2 linked regions of the Caenorhabditis elegans genome follow. The protein of the gene in region 1 interacts with the protein of each later gene in a pairwise test. Each region holds a gene or a part of one and is shown on either strand. Other genes may lie near its edges. The genes, in order: F53F10.1 and mig-5.

What was found.
Region 2: the proteins of F53F10.1 (region 1) and mig-5 interact in a two-hybrid assay, tested with the Caenorhabditis elegans proteins (2 studies listed by BioGRID).

The regions. Positions count from the first base shown.
Region 1 is NC_003279.8:3,833,450-3,839,585, forward strand, and holds F53F10.1 (Coiled-coil domain-containing protein 102A), read right to left. Parts: upstream 4,359-6,136; 5' UTR 4,300-4,358; coding exon 4,251-4,299; intron 2,325-4,250; coding exon 2,227-2,324; intron 2,178-2,226; coding exon 2,098-2,177; intron 1,751-2,097; coding exon 1,678-1,750; intron 1,138-1,677; coding exon 712-1,137; 3' UTR 666-711; downstream 1-665. Other genes in the region: azin-1 (Antizyme inhibitor 1), read left to right, coding at 1-121, 173-341; gsp-4 (Serine/threonine-protein phosphatase PP1-delta), read right to left, coding at 4,940-5,008, 5,055-5,447, 5,527-5,982.
Region 2 is NC_003280.10:8,181,570-8,186,708, forward strand, and holds mig-5 (Segment polarity protein dishevelled homolog mig-5), read right to left. Parts: upstream 3,455-5,139; 5' UTR 3,440-3,454; coding exon 3,401-3,439; intron 3,335-3,400; coding exon 3,186-3,334; intron 3,132-3,185; coding exon 2,978-3,131; intron 2,937-2,977; coding exon 2,861-2,936; intron 2,809-2,860; coding exon 2,331-2,808; intron 2,289-2,330; coding exon 2,166-2,288; intron 2,120-2,165; coding exon 1,794-2,119; intron 1,746-1,793; coding exon 1,221-1,745; intron 1,071-1,220; coding exon of another isoform or gene 1,058-1,070; coding exon 909-1,057; 3' UTR 754-908; downstream 1-753. Other genes in the region: dylt-3 (DYnein Light chain (Tctex type)), read left to right, coding at 249-255, 301-740; cct-1 (T-complex protein 1 subunit alpha), read left to right, coding at 3,877-3,952, 3,997-4,420, 4,465-4,770, 4,816-5,139. UniProt on the Caenorhabditis elegans protein: Plays a role in the signal transduction pathways mediated by multiple Wnt genes. Functions redundantly with other dishevelled family members throughout development.

The sequences.
Region 1 (6,136 bases):
AAAGCCGTCAATTGCGTGTCGGCGAGTGGCTCGTTTGGGAACAAATGGGCGCTTTCACAATTCCTGTTGACAGTGAGCATTCGGTGCCGCCTGTGTATTACTATTCTGGAAAAGAATGCTGGTGAGAACTTTTGAACCTTGAGATTTTGAAATTAAATTTGAATTATTCCAGGCAAAAACTAATCCACAAAGATGAACAACGCCGTTCTCCATCGCCAAGTGTCAGTGACAACGAAGATATTGGAAGTGATGGTGAAGGTGGCTACGCATCTTCATGTGAGGATTCGGAGGCGGAGATGGCTTTGGAGCCATTGATCGAGGATTTGAACGAATTCTTTTGATTGTTCCTAAGACTCCCCTGCTCATCCTGGAGACACAAATAATATTCAAATATTCCCCATTTATATTTCAAAAACTTTCTAGGTCATTTTTCTTCTTTTAATTCCTATTTTCTATTTCTCGAAACCTGTCCGTGATCCAATCTGTCTTTTTCAAACTAAAAAATCTTGATTCCAATTTTTTTCTCTCGATTTCTCTTTTTTTGCTCTTTCGGATTGTGTTATATTCCTGATTTCCTGAATTTTTTCCTGAAATTTCATATGTTTCCTGACCACGAAATTTGAATTTGAATTCGAATTCCTTTGAAAAAAGAAATAAAGGTCGAAGAAGTTAAAATAGTTTATTTTATTTACTCAAAAAAAAAAGAAACATTTAGGAACTGCTTGCTCTTTTTGAATTTTTTGCCGCCATCAGCTCCCTCTCCATACTTTGGATTCGTAAACGGAGATCCTGGATTGTCTTTCCATCGGTTTCAATCTTCTCTCGACACTTGTTCAACTCATTCGCCTGATCCTTCAGGAATTCATTTTCAGCCTTCAATTCTTCATTTATATCGGATTTAGTCGTCTCAACGGGCGGCTCATCGACACTTGGCTCACGAAGAACTGCTTCAATTTGAGCCGCCGAATAACTTTTGACTAGAATTGATGGAGGATCACATGAAATTGAATGAATTGTCTGAACAACTGCATTTCGTTTGGTTCCGTCGATTTCTGGTTTTTGAGAGATTTCGAGTTTTGGCTCGTCGGATTCCGAGTCGACGTGGTACAGTTGTTCCGCTAGAAATCTCTTTTCTTCCTGAAAAAATGTTTAAAATTTAAAATTTAGCAATGGGTCCAGGCACGAATGAAATGTTCCAACTACCGTACCCGCAGCAGTTATTCTAGCAATTTTCGCTGAATTTCCCATTAAAACTATTAAACGCGATGGTACGGTTGCTGTAAAGTTCGTATTTATAGTACCAGGACCTAATTGTATTATGGAAACTATTATGGGAACACCGAATTCCGAAAATACGTATTGCGCAACATATTTGACGCGCAAAATATCTTGTAGCGAAAACTACAGTAATTCTTTAAAATACTACTGGCCCGATTTTGCGTTGTTTTTTTCTCATTTATTGGTGAAAATTTTTAGAATAGCATCGAATTGAAAAAAAGCACGAAAAAGTACACGAAAATCTGTGCTACAGTAGTCATTTAATGGATTACTGTAGTTTTCGCTACGAGATATTTTGCGCGTCAGATATGTTGCACAATACGCATTCTCAGAATTTTGTGTTCGCGTAATATATGAATTGCGCAATAACATGCAAGAGAAAAAAGAAGAAAAACCTACGAGGAGAAGATCATAATTGAGTCGTAATGTTTCAGCTTCTTCACGAGCACGATTCCTCTCGTCTCGAACAGCACTGAAAATTAAAATTTCCAATTTCTTTTAACAATTATCTTTAAACAAAACGTTTTTAGGGATTCCATAGGAGTTTCAGAACGTCCCACAGAACGAAGATTTCTACGTGGACTTGATAAACTAAGCAATTTATCTACAACTTTTCACCCCAAAATTTTCTGAAATTTTCCGAAATGAGTTCAACTCTCCACTGCGGGAAAATTTTTTTACAAATTTTTTCCACCCAAAAAAAAGGGAAACGAAAAAAAAAGTTTCTAACTCATTTTATGAGGGTGGCCGAGTTTTTTTAGTTTTCGCACCCATAAGAGGAGAGAGAAATAATAGGCGCCCCCGTACCGTCTAACTTACCTCCATCGATTCCTCCAGTCTGCTGTACAACTAGACCACCATCTCATGGTTTTCTCCATTTGTGCAGCGCGATCTCTTGCCTGAAATTGAAATTGTTCTAGTCACATATTTGAACTGACAAATTCGTACCTCTTTCAGTTCACCTAACCTAATTCGTTCACAAATGTCCCAGTCTGTGTGTTGGCACCGTCGGACAGCCCATGTACGGAGAAAGTGCATATCGGTGTCTGAAAATAATTGAGGATTCAGGTAAAGTTATTTGAATGGAAAAAAGTGCATGCGCCTTTAAAGATATTTAAGTATACAGGACTGTCATTTTTTGTTGGTATTTTGGAAAAAAACATAGTTTGGGCAAACGATTTTTTTTTCCGGAAAACCGGCAATCCGGCAAATTGCCGGAATTGAAATTTCCGGCAAATCGGCAAATTACCGTAATTGAAATTTCCAGCCAATCGGCAAATTGTCGGAATTGAAATTTCCAGCAAATCGGCAAATTGTCGGAATTGAAATTTCCGGCAAATCGACAAATTGCCGGAATTGGAGTTTCCGGCAAATCGGTAAATTGCCGGAATTGAAATTTCCGGCAAATCGGCAATCCGGCAAATTGCCGGAATTGAAATTTCCAGAAAATCGGCAAATTGCCGGAATTGAAATTTCATGCAAATCGGCAAATTGTGGGAATTGAAATTTCCGGCAAATCGACAAATTGCCGGAATTGGAGTTTCCGGCAAATCGGTAAATTGCCGGAATTGAAATTTCCGGCAAATCGGCAATCCGGCAAATTGCCGGAATTGAAATTTCCAGAAAATCGGCAAATTGCCGGAATTGAAATTTCATGCAAATCGGCAAATTGTGGGAATTTAAATTTCCAGCAATTGGGCAAAGTGCCGGAATTTAAATTTCCAGCAAATCGGCAAATTGCCGGAATTGAAATTTCATGCAAATCGGCAAATTGTGGGAATTTAAATTTCCAGCAATTGGGCAAATTGCCGGAATTGAAATTTCCAGAAAATCGGCAAATTGCCGGAATTGAAATTTCATGCAAATCGGCAAATTGTGGGAATTTAAATTTCCAGCAATTGGGCAAAGTGCCGGAATTTAAATTTCCAGCAAATCGGCAAATTGCCGGAATTGAAATTTCCAGCAAATCGGCAAATTGCCGGAATTGAAATTTCCAGAAAATCGGCAAATTGCCGGAATTTAAATTTCCAGCAAATCGGCAAATTGCCGGAATTGAAATTTCCAGCAAATCGGCAAATTGCCGGAATTTAAATTTCCAGAAAATCGGCAAATTGCCGGAATTGAAATTTCCGGCAAATCGACAAATTTCCGGAATTGGAGTTTCCGGCAAATCGGCCATCCGGCACGTTGCCGGAATTGAAATTTCCAGCAAATCGGCAAACCGGCAAATTGCCGGAATTGAAATTTCTGACAAATCGGCAAACTGCCGGAATTGAGATTTTTGGCAAATCGGCAAATTGCCGGAATTGAAATTTCCGGCAAATCGGCAAATCGGCAAATTGCCAGAATTTAAATTTCCGGTAAATGGGCAATTCGACAAATTGCCGATGTGCCGAAATTGTCGGAAAAACGACAATTACCGATAAATTTCGGCGAATTGTGGGTTCGTACATTTATTTTTTTGAAATTTCAGAACTTTAATTTCAATCTGCGAATTTCAACCCGTGAATGTTCCTACATCTAAGCAAATTCTATGAAAATATCTAAAGAAAACGGCAAAAAAATTTCCAAAAGGCATAGTGTTTCCGTCCTATGAAAAAAACCCTCTCAACATTTCCGGCAAATCTGCGGCAAATCGGCAAATTGCCGAAACTGAAAATTTCCAGCGAATCGGCAAAACCGGCAATTGTCGATGTGCCGATTTTGCTGGGAAAAAAATGTGCCGCAATTCCCGCCCACTGTTGATTCCGATTTTATTTGCTAGTGGAAAAATGGATAAAATTAAATTTAGAAAATGTATGAAATTTAGAAATCAAGTTTCGATTTTAGTTTGTCTTGATTGTGAAACACAAAACGGGCAAATTTATTTTAATTTCGAGAGAATAATTCGAAATAAATGGATTTTTTTGCAGATTGTATTAACTAGATACATATCAATTTTTTACTCCAAAAAATTAAAATTTAAAACTAACCATTATTATCGATATATCTATTCCCAATGGAAGCAATGGAGTCGGCCATTTGGAAGATTTGTTCTCGAGCCGAAATGTGTATAATAGAGAGGAGCAAGAGTAGTGACCGGTTTGAAAGGAAGAGTGTCAGCTGTTATAAGAGATGTGTAATAGGATCAGTCGTTTAGAGTTTCGCAGACGAGAAAAGACACCTTTGAAGTGAAAACGTCATTTGGAAAAAGGCTGAAAATTTTCTTCCGGTGAACTTGTTGTCTGGAAACTCGAGAAATGAACTTCCGGTCCGATGCTAAAAAACAACAAAATCAAAGATTCAAGAATTTTCAGATTAATCTCTCCCAAGAGTTCCTGGCGTTGCTCAGGCTCGGCAGCTCAGGCAGAGAGGCAAGCATTAAACGTTTTCCGACAATTTTTTCAAAGATTTTCTGCGAAATGATGCAATGATTGCAGAGTAATACAGGTAGCCAAGACAAGCAGGCAGGATTTTATGCATGCTAGGAATAGTCATGATCTTTCCAAGCAGATACTAGGAATTTGTATATATGTATTTATGACTGGTGCGATCGGAACAAAATAGTAAAAAATAGTAGCTCTTTCAATAATTATTCATTCTTTCAAACACATAATTTGAGTAAACACCGTTTTCATTTTTCTCTTTTGGTTGGTTGGTTGGTGGTGGCAATCTATCGATCCTATCCTTTACGAAGAGACTTCGGAGTTGGCTTGTACATGACGAAAGTACAGACCATGTTCTCATCGACCTATAATATTCAATTTTCACAGAGAAGTTATAATAAAGAATCTCACCTTCATTGTTGCAGCCGAATTGTCAAACTGTCCGCAGTAGTGAGGCGCCGAGAAAATGGTGACCATCTTCTTGGAGGCGAAGAACTCGTAGCCGTCTTGAACGACTTGATGTGCACGAGCAACCAAGTCGATGTCAAGTCTCGAGCAAACGTCAGCAACAACATCCTGTCCAAAGACATAAGAGACTCCACGAGTATTTGCCTGCCATCCCTTCACCCATTGATCCGGATCAGCCCACAACAAGTCGATTCCAATCGATGGATTTGGTGGATCCTGAGGGCGAGGAAGTTGACGGAGTTGATCAAGAGTTTGGAGGTGTGGGGAGAGGCCACCATGCATGCAGAGGATGCGGGAACCAATGAGTCCACAGAGAGGCATCCAGTTGAACGTGTCCTGTAAATGGGGAATTGAGAGATTTGTTTCATTATTACGCAGCGAAGTAAGTTGACAAAATGCTTTCTGCTCCCCTTACCTGGAAGATTGACCAGAGACGAGTCGACTTGTAACGACGGTTGCACTCCTCGTAGAACCCATAGACACGATTGATGGCTGGGCACTCGTGGTTTCCACGAAGCATGAAGAAGTTCTCCGGATACTTGATCTTGAAGCAGAACATCAAACAGATTGTCTCAATATTCTGTCTTCCACGATCCACATAATCTCCCAGGAACAAAAAATTGATATCCGGTGGGAATCCATTCTTGTCAAAGATGCGCAAAAGGTCCGAGTACTGTCCGTGGATGTCTCCGCACACGATGATCGGCGGCTCAACCTCCAGGAGTGATGCTTGGGAGGCGAACACCGACTTGGCCACAGCGCAGCACGTCTGGAGTTCCTGCTCGTTGACAGAAGTTGTCAGTCTTCCACCGGACATGCCGACATTGAGCAAACGGCTCATCAAGTTATCGACATCGATTGTCGCTGTCATTATTGTTCTTCTTTACTGAAAAATTGTTGGCTTTATTGGCTGTGAGCTAGCGCGGAAAGTATGATGAATAGCCGGCAAGTGGGCTAAAAGCTGGTGAAAGCTTGGCCGATTTGGGGAGTAAGATGCATCGACGAAATGCATCACATTTCGCAAC
Region 2 (5,139 bases), on another chromosome or scaffold:
TTTTTGCATTTAAAAACAATGTTTCGTGTCGAGACCAGGTACCGTGTTTTTGGCACAAAAAGCGCAAAATTTTCGGGTCTAATTGTAAGTAATATTTTGAATTGGCACTAAACACTTCGCCTTCAGAGCGTGTTCTAATTACACGCACTGTTAAAAAAATTTATACCAGATTCTAATATATATATCAAATTTAGAAAACAAATGTTTATCGCATAACTTTAATTATTTCATTCATTCCTTGTTTCAAAATGACAGGTTAGTTTTCTTTGTCACATTATGCAACATCATTTGAAATTTTAGACACTTCTACAACTTCTTCTGTAGCAAAGCGGCAAATTGAATCAAAAAACGCTCAGCTTTTGAGACAATTGATTGAAAAGAAAAATAAGAAACTCAAAAAGAAAGTCTATTCAAATGCCGAAGAACAAGAAATTGATTTAATTATTCAAAAATCATTTGATTCAATAATTGGTAAAACTCCATATTCTCCATTCAAAATGTCTGATTGGATGAGCAAGATGATCCAAACAATTTCGGATAATTTAGTGAAGCTCAATGGAAGCAAAAAGTTTTTGGTTCATTGTACTATTTCTGCAAAAACCGATAATCTTGCAATTTGCACGGCCAACATGTGCTCCTGGGATACTACGAAGGATACTGCATACTACTCGGAATGGATGTCTAAAACTATCTTCGGTGCTGTCCAAGTCTTCTTCATCACACATCGTTTTTCGAAGTGAACATCGTCATGAAGAAATTTAAAATAATTCATAAATAGACTCAAAATTACATGAATGAATGAAAACGTTAGTCTTACTGAAATACATGAAAACAGGGCATAGTTTTAAATATTAATAAAGCATGTGGGAATTAAGGCGAGAATCGGTAAAGGCAATGAGTTTTAAATTTTAAGTCCGTAAAATACGCGTTCTGCTGTTGCTACTGTTCTCCCCGTCGAAATCGTGGTTGACTGCGTTCTGCGACTGAATCGGAGAAGCTGCTAGAACCATAGTACTGGATAGAGGAGTCGGCGGAGGGCCTCCTAAGCCACCACTTCCTGGAATTTGTAACTAATTTGGTTGGGGAAATACTGTTATGTGAAAAGTCATTTGGATACAAAGGGTACAGTAGTCAAGAAACAGCAAATACTATATCAATTGAAATGAATATTTGCTTCAAATTTAACTCCTGCACCCTATAGAAACGATTAATTTTCTCACCGTTTGTCAAGCTTGAGGATGTCACTTGAGAAGGTGCCGGTACCTGACGGTGATTATTTTTCGTCCCAAAAACATGATAATTTCCGACTGGATTCATTCCAATTTGGCTTTCTCCGACCATCGATGCGTAATCATTTGTCATAGGACTCTCACAATCTCGACGTCTTCGAAGCCATGTTTGGTCATGAGCAACTGGGCTTAGAGTAGTGGTTTCTAATCGATGAGGAATATTTCTTCCAACTCGTGCTGCCAGAGCATGTGGTGCTGGTGAGCCAACATACGTCACTTCAGTAGTTGCTTCAACTCGCATTGTAGTTCCACTCGTACCAGTGGTGTCCGTGGAATTACGATCATTGCCAAGAATTCCATCACCGAATACATAGTAGCACTTTTCTGTGAATGTCAACTTGCTGACGACATGTCTGATAAGACCAGCAGCTAACAATCTCGCAGCATAGATTCTAGCTTTCTTCCGATTATGAATATCAGCCATGTGATCAACGAGCCAATCGACTAGATCTCGGCCTAAACGTTGATTGTTTGGATCCTAATACTTGAATGTTCAGTACTCACCAATAAAAGACATTGGAACCAAAATTTTCAGCCATTTTCGATTTTTGACAGCTAATCCTGAATCCGGACGAGCCATAGAACGAACAACAATAATGGGATCAATCATTTCTGTGAGTTGCTCTATTTTTTCATTTTGCTCATTTTCTCGTTTTCTTTCTGCTTCTTCAATCAAAGCTCTTGGAATTCCATTTCTACGTTGATCGTAAAGCATTCGCTCCTCATCATCAGAAGCTGTCGATGTAAATGGAAGAGTTCCGTCATCAATTGTAGTTGCCGTTTGCTCCTGTGGATCCAAACCCAGAGCTTTCATTTTTTCAGTGTTCTGCCTGTAAGTATCAAATTAAGAAAATAAATCTTGCGAGGTACCCTTACACAGCGGTTTCTACCCAAACTCCAACGTCGAGGGGCATCGTTTCAGACGCCATGGACGCGAGTGGATCATCATATTCACTTGGGGCACCTCTTGCAAACTTACTGATATAAAGAGTAATTGGTCTAAAAATTAAAAAAAATTAATGCTAATGCGTAGAAAAATACCTTTTGGAGGATGCAGCTTCTCTGAGCGAACGAACTGCTTGAGGCCCACTGAGTTCTTCAAAGGATACTCTATTAACTTGAAGAATCTGATCACCAACGTTCACACGTCCATCTTTTTCAACGGCACCTTCTGGTGCAATTTCGGAAACGAATATATGACCATCAATTGTGCACACGCTCAGTCCCAGATATGGAACATTTTTCATTGGTAGATAAATTTCCAGAATTCGAGGGAGGCCGCTGTTAACACTTGATTCCGTCGCTGAGCTAATAGTACTTGGAACATACGGTCTTCTGAATCTTTCTTTCTTTTGTTTTTTCCTTCTTCTATCGTCATCGTATATCTTATTCATATCACGAGCAGCGAGAGGTTCGTAGAGCGAAGAATCATCTCCTGTTCGACGTGTATGCTCGTCATATTGATACGGATCCTCTGAATTTGAAGTGTATAATTCTGCCAGATGCTCTCCTGCTCTTCCTGAAAAACGTTCATACAGGTTTTTAAGAGTACATAAATAGCAAAAACTCACTGCTAACAATGGTGCTCGGAGCAAGACTAGCATCAGAGTACGGAGTCGCGTCAAAGTCTGCACTTCGTCGGCGGCGCTTAAAATATCAGTTTTTTTTGAAAATAACAGAAATCGAACCTTATCTAGAGCAGTTCTCTGTGGTCGCGTCATTGTTCCACTGTTTCGAGGAAGAGTTCCATATCCTGGAGTGCTAACGAGAAAAATCTCATAAAATCCATTCTGGGATTTGCGCAGCCGATCCGAATCAGTTGTTAATTCGACTTTAACTTCTCTGAACATTTTTCAGTACAGAATAATTACAAAAATTAAAAAAGCCAAAACTCACCGTTGAATATCCGGGTCAAGTTCCTTCGCATAATACTTATATCCACGCTTGGTGAATGAATTTTTGAAATTTCCAAGCGTCGCTACTCCTTCTCTGGCTTCAATAACAGAAACATAGGGAGTCGTTTCATCGTCGAGATAGTAGAAGACCTGGAAGAAAATTATTTCTGTTTAATCACTGGCTTAATAAAAAACAATTCTGATCAAAATTCTTACTTTTATCTGGCTGCAGTCTGATGTGCATGGCGGCTCCATAAATGTTAGAAATCTGAATTCAATATTTTAAATTATAGACCAATAAAATATTTATAAAAATTACAAGAGGAAACAAAAAAAACAAATTTGTTTGCAAAGGACTAGCGGAAACAATTTTATTTTTAATTTATCGGCAATAAATCGCGGGTGGGAACAATGTTGCAAATACGCCCTAGTGACAGCTGGTGTTGGGTCTCGGCACGATTACCCTTCTAGCATGCATGAAGTACGATGCGCTCTGAGAATATTCTACAAGAATTTTAATTTTGATTCAGAATTCAAGGGATCCCCGATTTTCTGGAAGCATTTTTATTTTTACTGAAATATTTTCATTTTTACGTATATTTTTATTTTTGAGTGCTTATTCAAAGCCCCTTTTTGACTCAATATCGAATGTCCTACTCTATTGCTAAGTTAATACGGTTGTGTTTCAGGTAATGGCATCAGCTGGAGATTCCATTCTTGCCCTCACCGGTAAAAGAACTACTGGACAAGGCATCAGATCTCAGAATGGTAACACCGAAAGCTCAATATAAGTATACATTAATTAATTGCAGTCACCGCGGCAGTTGCGATCGCCAATATTGTGAAGTCATCTCTTGGCCCTGTCGGACTTGATAAAATGCTTGTCGATGATGTTGGAGATGTCATTGTCACAAATGACGGAGCCACAATTCTGAAACAACTCGAGGTTGAGCATCCGGCTGGAAAAGTGCTTGTAGAACTTGCACAGCTGCAAGACGAGGAGGTCGGAGATGGAACTACTTCTGTCGTTATTGTGGCGGCTGAGCTCTTGAAGAGAGCCGATGAGCTTGTGAAACAAAAAGTTCATCCGACGACTATTATCAATGGTTACCGTCTCGCGTGCAAGGAAGCCGTCAAGTACATTAGTGAAAACATCTCATTCACTTCCGACTCGATTGGTAGACAATCAGTTGTCAACGCTGCCAAAACTTCCATGAGCAGTAAGATTATCGGACCGTGAGTTTGGTGTTGTCTATGCTTCAAGAAAATTGATTTTTCAGAGACGCCGATTTCTTCGGAGAGCTGGTTGTTGATGCCGCGGAAGCTGTTCGTGTGGAAAATAACGGGAAAGTCACTTATCCTATCAATGCAGTCAATGTTCTGAAGGCCCACGGAAAGAGCGCTCGCGAATCAGTTTTGGTGAAAGGATATGCACTCAATTGCACAGTTGCCAGTCAGGCCATGCCACTTCGTGTTCAAAATGCCAAGATCGCATGTCTCGATTTCTCTTTGATGAAGGCTAAGATGCACCTCGGTATTTCAGTCGTTGTTGAAGATCCAGCCAAGCTTGAGGCTATTCGCAGAGAGTGAGTTGAAACTATTCGTTTCTTTTTAAGCTATGGAATTTTCAGAGAATTCGATATTACCAAACGCCGCATTGATAAAATTTTGAAAGCCGGAGCCAACGTTGTTCTTACAACTGGAGGTATCGATGATTTGTGCTTGAAGCAATTTGTCGAATCTGGAGCTATGGCTGTTCGTCGATGCAAGAAATCAGACTTGAAGAGAATTGCCAAAGCTACTGGAGCCACATTGACTGTTTCCTTGGCTACTTTGGAAGGAGATGAAGCTTTCGATGCCTCGCTTCTTGGACATGCCGATGAAATTGTTCAAGAAAGAATTAGTGACGACGAGCTCATTCTCATCAAGGGACCGAAATCTCGTACTGCCAGCAG